Arabidopsis thaliana: one gene and its partners. The protein of the gene in region 1 interacts with the protein of each later gene in a biochemical or structural test. Each region holds a gene or a part of one and is shown in the gene's direction. Other genes may lie near its edges.

The links.
Region 2: the proteins of CAM5 (region 1) and WRKY11 form a complex in vitro, tested with the Arabidopsis thaliana proteins (one study listed by BioGRID).
Region 3: the proteins of CAM5 (region 1) and WRKY74 form a complex in vitro, tested with the Arabidopsis thaliana proteins (one study listed by BioGRID).
Region 4: the proteins of CAM5 (region 1) and WRKY7 form a complex in vitro, tested with the Arabidopsis thaliana proteins (one study listed by BioGRID).

Annotation. Positions count from the first base shown.
Region 1 is NC_003071.7:11,530,379-11,534,899, forward strand, and holds CAM5 (calmodulin 5), read left to right. Parts: upstream 1-1,588; 5' UTR 1,589-1,690; coding exon 1,691-1,766; intron 1,767-2,308; coding exon 2,309-2,678; coding exon of another isoform or gene 2,679-2,682; exon of another isoform or gene 2,683-2,906; intron 2,907-3,698; coding exon 3,699-3,798; 3' UTR 3,799-3,980; downstream 3,981-4,521. Other genes in the region: PAG1 (20S proteasome alpha subunit G1), read right to left, coding at 206-245, 377-786. UniProt on the Arabidopsis thaliana protein: Calmodulin mediates the control of a large number of enzymes, ion channels and other proteins by Ca(2+). Among the enzymes to be stimulated by the calmodulin-Ca(2+) complex are a number of protein kinases and phosphatases.
Region 2 is NC_003075.7:15,289,425-15,293,542, reverse strand, and holds WRKY11 (WRKY DNA-binding protein 11), read left to right. Parts: upstream 1-2,003; 5' UTR 2,004-2,084; coding exon 2,085-2,752; intron 2,753-3,081; coding exon 3,082-3,210; coding exon of another isoform or gene 3,211-3,214; exon of another isoform or gene 3,215-3,297; coding exon 3,298-3,478; 3' UTR 3,479-3,596; downstream 3,597-4,118. UniProt on the Arabidopsis thaliana protein: Transcription factor. Interacts specifically with the W box (5'-(T)TGAC[CT]-3'), a frequently occurring elicitor-responsive cis-acting element.
Region 3 is NC_003076.8:10,677,049-10,680,759, reverse strand, and holds WRKY74 (WRKY DNA-binding protein 74), read left to right. Parts: upstream 1-1,555; 5' UTR 1,556-1,814; coding exon 1,815-2,533; intron 2,534-2,608; coding exon 2,609-2,734; intron 2,735-2,822; coding exon 2,823-2,970; 3' UTR 2,971-3,161; downstream 3,162-3,711. UniProt on the Arabidopsis thaliana protein: Transcription factor. Interacts specifically with the W box (5'-(T)TGAC[CT]-3'), a frequently occurring elicitor-responsive cis-acting element.
Region 4 is NC_003075.7:12,569,870-12,574,278, forward strand, and holds WRKY7 (WRKY DNA-binding protein 7), read left to right. Parts: upstream 1-1,668; 5' UTR 1,669-2,060; coding exon 2,061-2,836; intron 2,837-2,938; coding exon 2,939-3,064; coding exon of another isoform or gene 3,065-3,068; exon of another isoform or gene 3,069-3,417; coding exon 3,418-3,577; 3' UTR 3,578-3,904; downstream 3,905-4,409. UniProt on the Arabidopsis thaliana protein: Transcription factor. Interacts specifically with the W box (5'-(T)TGAC[CT]-3'), a frequently occurring elicitor-responsive cis-acting element.

The DNA of each region.
Region 1 (4,521 bases):
GAACAGGAAATGAAACTAAGGGACTGTAAAATGTGTCATCTTGGGTCAAAATTTACACGGTATATATTACATCAAATCTACAATTCTGATAACAAAAATGTGAATACTTCATTCCAAGGTTAAATCACAGCACGAGAGACTAAACCCACTGAAGAAAGTGACAAAGTAGTATAAAAATCAATAGAGGAAGGAGGAAGAATCAAACCATAACAATCCCATCTTTGCACTTGATTCCAACAACAGTCCTGCGAAGAAAAAAAAAGGGAAAGACTTTTAACAAACCCTAATTCGTGTCGATAACCAAAATCTCAAAGTTTTCAGAAGCTAAATCCGATCTACTAAAGGGCGAAGATCGAAGAAGATAAAGCCAACTAACCCACTGTTGTCGACAGCTTTAGCGGCGTACTCGATCTGGAAAACACGGCCATCGGGAGAGAAAGTGGTGACGGAGAGATCGTACCCAGTTCCAATGCTACTCATCTTCCTTGATTTTTTTTTTCTCTGACTCTTTTCTGATTTCTTCTTCGTCGAGTGATTTAAGCTGAGATCGAAGAAAGGGGTTTTCTTTGTTCTCAAGCCAGAGACAAGCCAAATCTTTGGAGCTCCGTCTGACTCCGGGTTGGATATTAAAACGATTCGGGTTGTTTTGTCGGGTGGGTCGATTCGGTTATTAACGGGCTTTATTAATATTATGATTTGGCCCATTCTTTGGTAATCTTTTAACGGTATCGTGAATATTTTTAAGTGATTTTCCTCTTTTGTATAATTTTGAATAATCAACCACATGAGGAAGAAAGAAATATTTCTCTTACTCAACAAAATATATGATCATACAACACTTCTTTATGAACTCACTAGAGGTAAGACTATAATATGCTCTAGCATTGGGACACACAAACTTTGGGATGCTCAACATTACATGTTTTTAAAACCAAGACAGTAAATTACCTATAATTGTGATGGATACAATAAGTTTGTTTTTTACTACATCTCTAGCCAAACTGAGAGACATAGTTGTGGCGATCAAAAAAGTATGACAGTTTTGCGAAAACTGGATCTTGTTTAATATCAAATCTTTAAGTGAAGGTCATGATGCTTAACTACCCATTAGGTGACCCTTCCAACAACAAAGTAGTGATTTTTGTCCTAACTCCTAGATGATTATTAATTACAAAAACAGTAAATAAAAAGTACTACTATTTCTAAATTTTCTTATAATGCTAAAACTTTTTCTTTGGTTAACTTAATTAAAAAGTAGTTTAAAATCCATGGTAAACACAAAGCTAAACCTTTTTTACCGTTTTATATCACTAGTAATCCCATTCTACCAACTCGTTGAATACTTAGTATTGGTACGCATGGTAAGATCAGTAACTTATATGAACTAAACCATTCAAAGCATGTAAATGGTTGTCGGCAAAACAACAATACTATTTCTTTTCACAAGGGAATATATACATCACCTCCCTCTTAAGTAAAGCTAGTCGAATTGAAAACACAATAAGGCCCAGTGGAGAACAAAACAAAAGAAGAATAAAAAAGAGAATCAGATTCGAAATTATTGTTATTGGGCCTAATGGGCCTTTTCTTTTTCCTTCTTTATAATTCCACACAACAATCCTCTCATTACACACACCAACGTTGATTCTTCTTCTTCTTCTTCTTCTCTCTTTCTCATCTAAACCAAAAAATGGCAGATCAGCTCACCGATGATCAGATCTCTGAGTTCAAGGAAGCTTTTAGCCTTTTCGACAAAGACGGAGATGGTTCTTCTCTCTCAGATCTTTCCTCTTTTGTATAATTTTCATTCATAATAGACTCACTTGCGTTTTTTTTGGTGTTTTGAGTATCACTTAGTCTTGGCTTTAGGAATTTGATGCTCTTCGTTGTCCATAAAATCTCTGGATATTCACATTAACATTAAACGCGAGATTTGATGATATCTTTATCGTTCGTTGATTATAAATTATAATCGCAATCGGATCTATCTCGATAATAATCTCTAACTTAATCGTGTTTTAGTCTTCCAGATTTTACTAATTGTGATTAGAATTGACACAAATCTTAGAATTCAATAATCGAAGTAGATTACATTGACATTTGTAGATTTTTTGTTTAATTGATTCAGTTATTTGAGTAGGTTACAATGAAATTTGAAGATTTTGTGTTCATTTGATACAGTTGTTAGAGTAACTAAAATGAAATTTGAAGATTTTGTGTGTTATTAGAGTAAATTACAATGAAAATTTGAAGATTTGGTGTTAAAATCTGTTACTGATTTGAGAGAAATGTGTGGTTTTGTGTTTAGGTTGCATCACAACGAAAGAGCTAGGAACAGTGATGAGATCATTAGGTCAAAATCCAACAGAAGCAGAGTTACAAGATATGATAAACGAAGTAGATGCTGATGGTAACGGAACCATAGACTTCCCTGAGTTTCTGAACCTAATGGCTAGGAAGATGAAGGACACTGACTCTGAAGAAGAGCTCAAAGAAGCTTTCAGGGTTTTCGATAAGGACCAGAACGGTTTCATCTCGGCAGCTGAGTTAAGACATGTAATGACAAATCTTGGTGAGAAGTTAACTGATGAAGAAGTTGATGAGATGATCAAAGAAGCTGATGTTGATGGAGATGGTCAGATCAATTATGAAGAGTTTGTCAAAGTTATGATGGCAAAGTGAGGAAACTATTCTCATATCTTTTCTCTCTTTTTCTTTCTTTCTTTTTTTGAATTGAACAACTCTGATTATTGCTTTATTCTATGTTTGACTGTTCATTATTATGCATTCGTCCCAAATTTCATGTTATGAACTATTTTGTGACTTTGGGTTAAATTATTTGTTTGGAAGTTTTTAGTTTATTTTATATTATGTGAAGTACCATTGTAATGGTCGTTGAAAAAGCTATCTCTTGGTATTAGTACTTTTTTATTTTATTGTATTTTATAGTTTGCAATGTTTGTTAAAAAAAAAAAGGGTTATTTGTGTGATTAAAATTTGTAGGAAAAATGTCTGAAAACATTATATCGGTAGTTTTAAAAGCTTAGAATTTTTTATTTATTTTTAAATTGTTGGTCAATTTGGAAATTCCCCTATTTTTTAGAGGAATGTTGGCAATAATCCATATAATTTGAGTCAAATTAAAATATGTTTTTCTTATTTTACGGTTCATATAAGAAAATAAGTAAACTGTTAGAAAAAAGTATTATCATTTGTAACGATTAAAACAAGAGATAAAATTTAGGAAATACGAAAAAGGGTTAAAGAAAAACATAACTTCCATTTCATTTTTTCTTTCAAAAGTTTTCAAGCTTCAGTTCTCTTTTTCCCCACTTCAACTTTCAGCTTTGTAAATAACATTCGTGTTTTTCTTGATTCAATATATTCTACATTTTAACAAAAACATATAAAAAGTGGTGTATGCATACAGTAGTTATTCGTGAGGTAGAACGTAATTGTTTAAATTAAAAGGCAGATATGTTTTGGGGAATAAAATCAAAAATGGATGGTAAGTAGCAAAAGCTAGATAGATGAAATGAGAATCTCCAAACCTTTAATTATGACTGAACTTTTTTGTTGGTAACCAGTATTTTTTATTTTTACTTTTTTTTGTTACAAGGCTTAGTTTCTTCTTTTTCTTTTAAATATTATCGAAAATCTTGATACCTAATTATTTTAAAATGTGTGTAATTTATTAGGAGAAGAGGGAAGAGAGTTATGGCAGCAAAGCGTAGTAGCAATTCTGCTGAATACAAAGAAAAGAATGGTCGCCGGAAAAGTCACTGCCGTATTCTCTGAGCTCCGACCATTTGCTTCTTAATTCCTTTTCTTTATATGTTTGTGTGCAATAAGAGATTTGTACCTCTCACACCCATTAAACGGATTTTAAATGTCATATCTTGTTTGAATATGTTAAATATTTACTATACTGTTATATAAAAAGTTTTAAAGTACTATCAATATAGTAAGTTCATTTAGGCATTTCCTATCTACCACAATGTTTAATTTTCGTCTACAACATACGCACACTTATCAAACTTGAATCCAAGTATATAGCGACAACACTAAATCCGAGTTATGATACGACGGTGGCACTAGTACAGAAACACTATCACAATGTTTTTAAGATATTAGCAAGAGAAAACTCAGAAAAGATACACGACCAATATTAGGAGACTTTAACTAATACTCTGGCGATCTAACTGTTATAATTTATCAGTTGATTTAGGCGTTAGGCATTTGCTATCTATCAACAATGTGGGCGGGCATATGGTCTAATTCTTGTGAGATGATAATACAATTAAAACAAAGAAAATACTTTTTTAGGAACTAAACCTAAACTTAAAAGTCTTTCTAATCAGTTGCTATTTAAGTATTTTCATAATAAATCAAGAAATGCAAATTGTACATGAATTCGAAAAGCCTCTCGTTAAGAAAACTTATGATTAAGAATATAATATCCAAATACTAGTTTATAACACCAAATGCATTGAAACACTTTGTGTCACTTAGCATCAAACA
Region 2 (4,118 bases), on another chromosome or scaffold:
TTTAATACGGGGAACGATTTTACCCCGCATGTATAGAACAAAAACAAGTTTACTTTTAAAATTAGTGAAAGACTAGTTCCAAAACCGCATTGACATGTTAGTTTTTTCTCTTACAAATATATATTTGTTATCTTATTCTAATGTTAACCAAACAAATATTGATCGGGAAGAAAAAGAGATGCTCAGAAATATTATAACACAATGAGTGATTGAGACATAGAAAAAAGGATGATCATTGAGATTTTGTAACTATGTAGATAATATAGACGTGCACGACAATAATAATACAACTCGGTCGATCGGGTCAACTACCCCATGTTATAATTTAATCGTTGACATAAGAAACTGTTTTAAATAACAACAATCCATGGTTTCTTCCCCACCCATATATAGCCATAAAACACGTTACATGAACACTCAACACGTTCTATTTTCATTTTTTATTTTGTTAATAATTTAAGAATTTTAAGCTGAAGTCCAGATTAATTTCCAAAACATAGAGAGACAATATAATTATTGCCAGCTAAGATAATCACAATTACTGAATACGATTAAAATCCAAGTTGGAAGATTTTATTTTTGTAACCAATGGACTAGTATCCAAGATAATGTTGATACATACGAGTACATTTTATGTCACTATATACAATTTCCGATATTTTTTATTTTTCAATCATTCGTTAATAAAAATTCTACAAACAAAAATAATTCATCAAAACACTAAATAAATTTTTTTTCCCTTTTTCTCAATTTTATGCCTTGCCTAATTTCTGTTCCATTCATTTTTGAAACAATTTCAATAGTGGAACATGATAACAAAAGTCGACACGTGACAAGAACTTAATAGCTGGCTGGAGATTTTAATAGGCTCATAAAATCATAAAAACATAGTCAACACTTGTATCCACAGATCCACCGTTGGATTGACCTTTCGAAAATCCAGTGGTTCATATAAGAGTTAATGGGACCACCCGGTTACCGAGGTCGTCAAATAGCTTTATGTTCAAAGAAATAATCGTAAATTCGTTATTTTTTATTTTCTTACAATAATTTAGTAGCACTACTACTTTAACATTTTAAATAGTCAGCTTTTCACCTTCCTTTGTCGTATTGATGAATCGCTGTTCTAGTGGACTTTTAAAATCATTAGTCAAACCATTACTGCTATTTTAATTATAATGACTATTATTATTTGTTGTTTTCACAATATGTGTAGAATACTTAGGTGAATTTGAGGTTAATAAAGTTTCCAAGTGAAGACTGTTTCTAAAATGAAAACTTCTTGTTGTAAATAAGTAAACAGTCAAATTTTATCAATAGAAAAAGACAAAAAAGAAGTAAAAGTCCGGCGCCAAATATTTATTGGTTATGGAAACCCCTTAACTTAGTCTTGAATTAGTTAATCGTAAATCTAGTTGACAAATATTAAAGTCCGTAGAATTTGAAAGAATACAGAAGATTCAAATTGGGACAAACATAATATATAATTAAAGCTTTATAAAAGTCAAATGTATCCATTATTATTATTTTGGGATTAATCAATCATCTCTGTCTCTCGTTGACAACTCTTCCTTCTCTTGCCTCAACCAAATTCCAGCTGGCCCTCTTTCTCCATTGTGTGTGAATGAATCATTGACATTATTTTTACTTACTTTGGTCATGCAAACTTCTTTCTACACCTTTTGCTTAAGCTAAGTTGAATGATTTTTGTTAAGAGTGTTGTTATTTAGAGAAAATTCTGTCCATCCATTATCTTTTTGGGTTGAAAAATATCTTGAATTTGAAGTAACGATAAAATTCGGATGCCAGGGGTGGGTCCCAGTAACCTCGAACTTTGAGGAGACCAAACTGTTGATTGCTTTATTCCGTGGAAATCCTCAACTCAATCACAGCCGTTGGATCAAAACCTCCTTCCCGGTTTGACTAAAAAATCACCAAAAATCTGACCCGGTCACCTCCTCTTTTCCCCATATATCACGCATCCTTCTTCTTCTCTCTTCTCCATCACAACCATTTCTCTCTCTCGTCTTCGTCTTCTTCTTCTTCAACGTTCCTCTCCAAAATCCTCAGACCAAGAAATCATCATGGCCGTCGATCTAATGCGTTTCCCTAAGATAGATGATCAAACGGCTATTCAGGAAGCTGCATCGCAAGGTTTACAAAGTATGGAACATCTGATCCGTGTCCTCTCTAACCGTCCCGAACAACAACACAACGTTGACTGCTCCGAGATCACTGACTTCACCGTTTCTAAATTCAAAACCGTCATTTCTCTCCTTAACCGTACTGGTCACGCTCGGTTCAGACGCGGACCGGTTCACTCCACTTCCTCTGCCGCATCTCAGAAACTACAGAGTCAGATCGTTAAAAATACTCAACCTGAGGCTCCGATAGTGAGAACAACTACGAATCACCCTCAAATCGTTCCTCCACCGTCTAGTGTAACACTCGATTTCTCTAAACCAAGCATCTTCGGCACCAAAGCTAAGAGCGCCGAGCTGGAATTCTCCAAAGAAAACTTCAGTGTTTCTTTAAACTCCTCATTCATGTCGTCGGCGATAACCGGAGACGGCAGCGTCTCCAATGGAAAAATCTTCCTTGCTTCTGCTCCGTTGCAGCCTGTTAACTCTTCCGGAAAACCACCGTTGGCTGGTCATCCTTACAGAAAGAGATGTCTCGAGCATGAGCACTCAGAGAGTTTCTCCGGAAAAGTCTCCGGCTCCGCCTACGGAAAGTGCCATTGCAAGAAAAGGTATTGTTACGTCACCCACCTGTCGCTCTAACAACTACTCAGTGACTTCAGTTATTTAATTTCAAAAGTTTCAACCCATAGTTGACTATTACCCTCGCTATATCAATAATTAAAAAATAGTCTAATAATTCAATTAGGTGAACCCGGTTTAGTAATACTGTCCCGGTTATCGGTCTAGTTGCTTTAAATGTCGGGCATGTTTTGGTATTGCGCGCCGACAATGACTAGAACCGGTTGAGCTCAATGAATAACTCAAGTTTTGACCGTTGACTTTTGGAACCCAATGTTTTTTCCGTTAATTAATATTTTCTATTTGATTTTTAATGAAGCAGGAAAAATCGGATGAAGAGAACCGTGAGAGTACCGGCGATAAGTGCAAAGATCGCCGATATTCCACCGGACGAATATTCGTGGAGGAAGTACGGACAAAAACCGATCAAGGGCTCACCACACCCACGGTAAATATCCTACACCCGTCTAATATCCACCGTTGGTATTTAATTTAATCGCGATCTAACGGTGTTTATTTGTTTTTTGCGATCCAGTGGTTACTACAAGTGCAGTACATTCAGAGGATGTCCAGCGAGGAAACACGTGGAACGAGCATTAGATGATCCAGCGATGCTTATTGTGACATACGAAGGAGAGCACCGTCATAACCAATCCGCGATGCAGGAGAATATTTCTTCTTCAGGCATTAATGATTTAGTGTTTGCCTCGGCTTGACTTTTTTTTGTACTATTTGTTTTTTGATTTTTTGAGTACTTTAGATGGATTGAAATTTGTAAATTTTTTTATTAAGAAATCAATTTAAATAGAGAAAAATTAGTGGTGGTGCAATGTTTTATACTATTGTTGTTGATGATTAGTAGATATGGGTATTAGGTAGAACCGTAGAGGTTATGAAATTAATTGCGCACCAAATGATATAGACTTATGTTCGTCATTTACTTTTCATTATTCATTGTTTTTTTCCTTAATTAATATAAATGACTTGGTGGCCGTTGGATTGCTCGCGAAAGTAAAGTTGACTAAATTGATGAATGATTAAAAGTCAATGAGTACTTAATGAGTTGGTTGGGTTTTGGTGTCGAATAATGCATTTGAGTTTGTCTATATAAATGTGAAATCCGAAAGACAAGTTAAGGGTCAACTGAATTTATTTATGCCGTCTGAATAGTACATTGACATTTATTATCTATATCTTGTGTCAAAGTTGTCATTTGTTATTGCCGACCTATGTTTTAAAATGAAATACCAAGTGTTTGACCATTTCCTATGTTTATATTTCGATATCGATTGGTAGTAAGACAAACAGTTTGGCACGATGTATACAAAATTAGAGATGTACAAGTACTTGCTATGT
Region 3 (3,711 bases), on another chromosome or scaffold:
TCTTTCTATTTCATATATATTATCATTTAAGGTCAAGCATTAGTTTAACCATATTATTTTATCCTTTGAAAAATTTTGTACTATGAAATTAATACATCTAAAATAAGACCCATTTTTTTCTAGCATGACACATCAACTTTTTCAGTTGTTCTCAACATAATACATCATTGAAATTGTCATTCATTAAAAATATTTTGATTAATACATTTTATTTGTTTCTGTTAAAACTTATTTCATTGATTTCAAAAAAAAAGAAAAAAAAAACTTATTTCATTATCTTAGACTTATTGTTTAAGAAGTGGGCTTATTAAAGATGATCTTTAGTTCTAAAAAGCTTACCTATTATTTCATTTTTTTTAAGCTAACCTATTATTGTCTTTGTTGATATAGAATTCTTAGGTTTATAATATACGGCTGTTGTATATTTATTTTGGAAAGATTAGTTGCTTAATTATTTGTTTGAGATATGTCTATATCAAACTAATGACATTATCTCTAGATATTTTAATAAAGATAGATAATTATTTAAATGAGTTAAAAATATCATTTAGATAATTATTTAAATGAATTAAGAATATCCTATTAACTAATGTTATTTTCGTTAATAACACATAAAGATAAAAATCTATTTTTCTTAAAATATTTCCTTTCTAATTACTTTTATAAAGGAGAAATCTTATGACTTTATTAATATTATATTTCATTAAAAATAAATATTGTATTTATTTAAAGTTTATAAAATGTTTAGAATATTTAACGAAAAAACGTTTATAATATATGAAATCTATAAAATCAAATAATCATTTCAAAAGAAAACTTTTAAATTAATTTGAATTATAAATCTTTTAATAAAAATATTATTTGAACAAAAAAGAAAAAATAATGTTTAATTTTATCAAACTGAATTTGGGTCGTACGAGATTAGATGGTAGGACGGGTTTGGATCGATAGTAATACGAAACGGTATACCACGGGTGAAATCCTAAATAAAACAATCAAAATACAATTATATTATCTTAAATATTAAACAAAACAAATAATATTAGTAAAATAAATATAATTTAAATTTAAATTATTTAGTTATAATCTAAATTTTAATTTAATGAATGGTATGTTATTGTTTCTACATTTTTAATAGTAAAAATCAAATATAATAATTATATATTTAATAATATATAGATATAAGAGTTATACATTCAGAAAATACATTTAGAAAATATAAAACATTAAATCATATATATTTTTAATCAAAAAAACAAATTAAATTTTTATTCTTAAAAAATAAAATAATCATGCGGTATACTGCGAATCAAAATCTAGTTAATATATAAAGAGTTAGCTAGTATACATAAATAAGAAATAATTAAGACACATTATCACAAAACTAATATTTATGCAGAACATTATTTGGTTGTCACCAAAAATATTATTATTTCCAAAGAAAAAAGAAAAGAAAAAGTAGATGCAAAGTAGGTCCAGTAATGGAACCCACCACGAAAATCTTTTACAGAGAACTCTGTTTTTCTCTCCTTTCCTCTGTGACTGTGATGAGTGACGACCATCTCCACTCTCCCTTCTCTCACCAATCTCGAAGCTTTGCTTTATACTGAGAGAAGAATATTTGTTTCTTCTTCTTACAGTGAGAGAACAATTTTCTGCTTTTAACCCTTGTTCTTGAGCTATTATTTTGATTTTTATGGTTTCCATGTTTGAGCTAGCTCATGATGATTATTCTTTTCTTTTGAAATAGTTTTTTTTAGCGTTTGAGTTTTGAGGTTTTTCGTTTTTTAAAAGTATCCTTTGTGAAGAAGAAAATGGAAGAAGTTGAAGCTGCAAACAAAGCAGCAGTGGAAAGTTGTCATGGAGTATTGAATCTCTTATCACAACAAACCAATGATTCCAAATCAATAATGGTTGAAACAAGAGAAGCTGTTTGCAAGTTCAAGAGAGTCTCCTCTCTTTTGTCTAGAGGGTTAGGTCAAAGGAAGATAAAGAAACTCAACAACAACAACTACAAGTTTAGCTCTTCTTTGTTGCCACAACACATGTTTTTGGAGAGTCCTGTTTGCAGTAATAATGCTATAAGTGGTTGTATTCCAATTCTAGCACCAAAGCCTCTTCAGATTGTACCAGCTGGTCCTCCTCCATTGATGTTGTTTAACCAGAATATGTGTCTTGATAAGTCGTTTCTCGAGCTGAAGCCACCCTCTTCACGAGCTGTTGATCCAAAACCTTATCAGTTTATTCATACCCATCAGCAAGGAGTGTACTCAAGGAGCAAAAGTGGTTTGAATCTAAAGTTTGATGGGTCTATTGGTGCTAGTTGTTATTCACCAAGTATATCAAATGGGTCAAGATCGTTTGTTTCATCTCTTAGTATGGATGGTAGTGTGACGGATTACGATAGAAACTCTTTTCATTTGATTGGATTACCTCAAGGTTCCGATCATATATCGCAACATTCTAGGAGGACTAGTTGCTCTGGTAGTTTAAAATGTGGAAGTAAAAGCAAATGCCATTGTTCCAAGAAAAGGTTGGTTTTGTTCTTCCTTGAGAAAAAAGTGTTCTAAGAGTTTGTTTATTTCAATGTTTTGGTGTTTGTTTACAGGAAATTAAGGGTGAAACGATCGATTAAAGTACCGGCAATCAGTAACAAGATTGCGGACATACCTCCCGATGAATATTCATGGAGGAAATACGGACAAAAGCCGATTAAGGGTTCTCCTCATCCTAGGTAAAATAACATTACAAGAAGAGAAAAACATTGGACTTTGTTTATATGTTTTGGTTTATAATTTGTTTCTTGTTTTTGTTGTTTGCAGGGGATACTATAAATGTAGCAGTGTGCGCGGTTGTCCAGCGAGGAAGCATGTTGAGCGATGTGTAGAAGAAACTTCGATGCTTATTGTGACTTATGAAGGCGAGCATAACCATTCAAGAATACTCTCTTCTCAATCAGCTCATACTTGATTGATTGTAGTAACGGTCTTCAATTGTATATTCTACTTTGCAAACTCGAATTTTTGTGCATAACAATTTGGCTTCAGCTTTATCTATATATAGGTTTAAGTTAGATATGCATAATCTAGAAGTTGTTTTGGTTTGGCTTTGTTGAGTTAAACTGGTGACTCATATAATTTGGTTCCTTTCCCCAATTGATTTTAGTACTCAAAGCCCATCAGAAGGTAACCATGCAAAATAATAACAAACTCTTTAAGAATTAAGTTTAATGGTACTGTAGCTGAAGTTAATCTTGAAACTAAAGAATAACATAACCCCATAAATGAAATGTAACCATCTACGAGGAAAAGCACCAAGTTTCGATGGCAAAGACTAAAGTTTCTTAAGAACACAAGAACAAGCTTTAAAAGAATAACTCTCTTTTATTGATGATTAGAAAACTCTCTCTCAACCTAAGAGGTGTATATAGGAGGCACAACTTTGCTAATCGTATTACAATTAGGACTTAGATAACTCCTAAACCTAATAGAAACTTCTAGGCCTTTCTTAGTCTTTAACCTCCTCATTAAAGACTACTTGGGCCTTAAGTTAACTTTGAAGTTTACCCAACATTCTCCCCCATAAGCTTCAAGTTAACTTTAGAGAGGTCTTGAACTCCAAACAAACTTCTCATTGTCTTGAACTTGATCTGTGTCAATGCCTTAGTCAAGATATCCGCCTCTTGCTCAATCTTGATTCCATCTTCTCCTT
Region 4 (4,409 bases), on another chromosome or scaffold:
TTTTCTCATAAGTGTAATATTTTATTCATTTTATCATTACCAGTACAATGCTTGGTTATGAGAAAACCAAAATAAAGCCCAAGACATCCCACATATAAAGGCTCATACGACACAAAAGAAGAGATAAGCTATAGACGTGTCAGACCAATAATAATAAGCTAGGGACACGTGGAACGTCCACAACCTTCACTAGTCCTGGACAAAATATTCGTTCGATCCGCTTTAACTCAATATTCGATTTGATTTGATTCGAAAAATCCGAATATTCGTAAGATTTTGGAGCAAAGCAAATAGAAAAATGTAGTAATCGTAAAAACCGAAGCAAATAACAAATACTATTTTTTCTAAAGTCGGATATTCGCTTCGATCTATATATATATATATATATATATATCACAATATAGGTTGTGCATTTGTATATGTTGGGATTTGGGCTTGTATTTGTATCCTTTGGGCCTGTGTTTTTTTTGTGACACAGTTTTTATTAGAGAAGTGGAATTTTTTAAAATAAAATTGTTTTATTTTTTATATTTTATCCTAAAATTGTCGTTTTACTTTCCAATCCATCAAATATAAGAGCGACATTTCTGTTTCCTTTCTTCGACCTTTCACTATTTTTATCACTCAATTTGGTTACAGAATTTATAACCAGAAAATTTTCAGTTGCTCTCAATCTCACACTCGTAAGTCATAAGGTAAGAAATTTGAAATCTATGTTAAATAATTTATATAAAAAAATATTTGGATGTAGCAAAGCAAAGCGGATATCCGACAAATATCATACAAAAATCCGGATATTCGTATTTTCGGATATTTGGAAATTTTCGGATCAAAGCAAATAATAAAATTAAGTATTCGATTAAAACGAATCGAATAACAAATATCCCAAATTTTCCGGATATTCGCTTCGTGCCCAGGCCTAACCTCCACTGCACATGAGACTCAAGCCTGGTGAATCAGAAACGTCGTTGGAAAATCACCGGTCAACGAGACTTCTTTTTTATCACCAATTAAAAGTTACAGAACAAACATCAATCTCCTAATCTCATCCGATTGCAAGAATCACAAAGGATTCGGCAAAAATGGGTAAAAGAAATTAGAGAAAACTGAGTAGTTCAAACTTGTCTAACAATTAAATCTCTTGCAAGAACAACAAAGGCATATCTTAATTGCATAGGAAACGAGCTTTGACCTAACCTTAGTCGTGGAGAAATTGAAACTGTCTTAAACACAGTAGATCCAAACGAACCTAATTGTCGAGAACGCACACATCGCCGGAAAACTGTTGGAGCCAAAAAAAACAGAACCCAACGGTGAAGCCAATCAAAGCAGAAAGAAACTAAATCATGCGAAGAGAACACCTCTTCGGAACTGAAGATTCTGCCTGTCATAATGTTTCATCATCAAGATTTTAAAGCTACAAAACAAAAACAAATCCGAAGAAACCGAATTCAAAATTGCCCAAAAAGAAATCTAAATCCCGATCAACGGGAGATAATAGCCGGAAAAAATCCAGATAACGGAAACCGGAAGAAACCCGGACGGCGATTCTAAACTTACATCGGAAAAATCTTTCTCTGAAAAATACTATAGAGAGAAGAGAGAGACCTTCCTCCTTTTAGATCTTTCTTTAATTAAAAATTTAATTTTTATATTTTTAGCATCTAATCAGCCTCAAAAATATAAAATATCTTAGATTTTTCTCGAATAATAATAACGAATATATATATAATTCGAGCTCCACTTGCTCCAAATTTAAAATCATTGACGCTGAGGAGTGTCAAAACGCTTGACAAATGATCACACGTGTAAGCCTATGAGTGGTGGTCGATTTGACTGATGCACTATCAACACATACCTAAAGATATAGAGAGAGAAACGCATATCGTTGACTCTCCCCCTTTTTCACTCTCTTCATTTATTCTTCCCCTCATCATCATCATCATCTTCTTCTTTAACCAAAAACACAACTTACAAGAAAACTGTTGAATCTTTGTATTTATTTACATCTCCTTTGACCTTTAATAAGAATCTGAGTGGTTGGTCTCTGATTTGATGAGATGACTGTTGAGCTGATGATGAGCAGCTACAGCGGCGGCGGAGGAGGAGGTGATGGTTTTCCTGCAATCGCCGCGGCGGCGAAAATGGAAGATACCGCTTTGAGAGAAGCTGCTTCTGCAGGGATTCACGGTGTGGAGGAGTTTCTTAAACTGATCGGTCAAAGTCAACAACCAACGGAGAAGAGTCAGACGGAGATAACCGCGGTGACTGACGTCGCCGTTAACAGCTTCAAGAAGGTCATTTCTCTACTCGGTAGATCTAGAACCGGACACGCTAGATTCAGACGAGCTCCCGCGTCAACGCAAACGCCGTTTAAGCAAACGCCGGTGGTTGAGGAGGAGGTGGAGGTGGAGGAGAAGAAGCCAGAAACAAGCTCCGTGTTAACAAAACAGAAAACAGAGCAATATCACGGTGGTGGATCTGCGTTTAGAGTTTATTGTCCAACACCAATTCATCGTCGTCCTCCTCTATCACACAATAACAACAACAATCAGAATCAAACAAAGAACGGTTCGTCTTCTTCATCTCCTCCGATGCTCGCAAACGGAGCACCGTCAACGATAAACTTTGCGCCGTCACCACCAGTCTCAGCGACGAACTCATTCATGTCTTCTCATAGATGTGACACCGATAGTACTCACATGTCATCAGGATTCGAGTTCACTAACCCATCTCAGCTCTCTGGTTCGAGAGGTAAACCTCCTTTATCATCAGCTTCGTTGAAGAGAAGATGTAATTCATCTCCCTCAAGCCGTTGCCATTGCTCCAAGAAAAGGTTTTGATTCAACTTCTATTATTAAAAATTAATCTTATTTTAGATCTAAATCTTGAGATTTGATTAATAAAACGTTAATTATAATTTGTGTAAAAAAATCAGGAAATCAAGAGTAAAAAGAGTGATTAGAGTTCCAGCAGTAAGTAGCAAAATGGCTGATATACCATCAGATGAGTTTTCATGGAGAAAATATGGTCAAAAACCAATCAAAGGCTCTCCTCATCCTCGGTAATTATTTTTTACATTTTTTACCATCGATATATATACTCTACACATACATCACAATCACTCACTAGATTCAACACCAAAAATCAAATATTGGCTAGAAAATTAAGCAACTTGTGTATTGTCAATATTAGTACCAGAGAGATTGTCAATATTGTTTTTTTCTATATCGGTTGTACCAAACATGTTGTCTAGTAGTACAGTAGTGGGTTCAGTTTCACGCTCTTTTTGACTTGTTGTTTCCTATAGAATAAATTTGAAATAGAAAGCCGAGAGTTAAGTTGACTATTTCTTTTCTCATTAATTAATAAGAACTCGAACTAACTGGGGAGGACTCGGTGTAATGGTTATGACAGGGGATATTACAAGTGCAGCAGTGTAAGAGGTTGTCCGGCGCGTAAGCATGTGGAGCGTGCACTAGATGATGCGATGATGCTAATCGTGACGTACGAAGGAGACCACAACCATGCTTTGGTTCTCGAGACGACGACGATGAATCATGACAAAACTCTTTAGTTTCTCGAGTTTGAGGGGAACTGTCTGTGTGTGACCACTATCCAGATTAGTCAACGACAGAGTGGGCCCGCACTGCACTTTTTTATTCTTTTCTTTTTGAAAAGCTTTTGCTTTATCTTTCTTTTTGATTGGAGGAAATAGAGGGAGGGGAGATAAAGACGAGAGAGGAACGTTGTGGATCTTGATGGAAGTTGAATCATGTGAATGTCCTTTTCTGTTTATTTATTTCTAGGATAATATATATTTAGTGCACTATTTTTGTCAAATCTCTGATTCTTTTCTTACTTGCAGAACTATTTGAGTTTTTAGGGAAATTATCAGTTAATTTAGATTCAACTGACCATAATGCTATGCTGGTAATTGGAAAAAATTGCAATTCAAATTTCGTTAAACAAAAAAAAAAAGAACTATTTGTAGATTACATAGTCAAATCAACTTAACACACGTTTATAGAAACTAGAAAAGTTGTCGATCAAATAATAAGTAGCTCTAATAAGTATTTATTTCAGCATTAGTGAAAAACCTCAGATGCAATGTCGTTATCCTTTTAAGTGTGTTTTTTCCAACAAAGTTGACAATGTTTATGATTATGTTAACGGCTATAAATTCAAGTGTAAAGTACTTCAACATTTAGTAAAAAATTTAAAGCTTTACTACAAAATTTTGTTACCAAGAAAATCAGCTATTCATGCATCATTGCGTTATAACTCTTCAATATCACTTTTAAGTGATGTTTTAGAGACTTTTTTTAAAAAGATGTTTTAAAATTTTTTAGACCAATCATATTTTAGAGTATGTTATCTAATTAGTTAAAATTTGTTTAATTGTATTA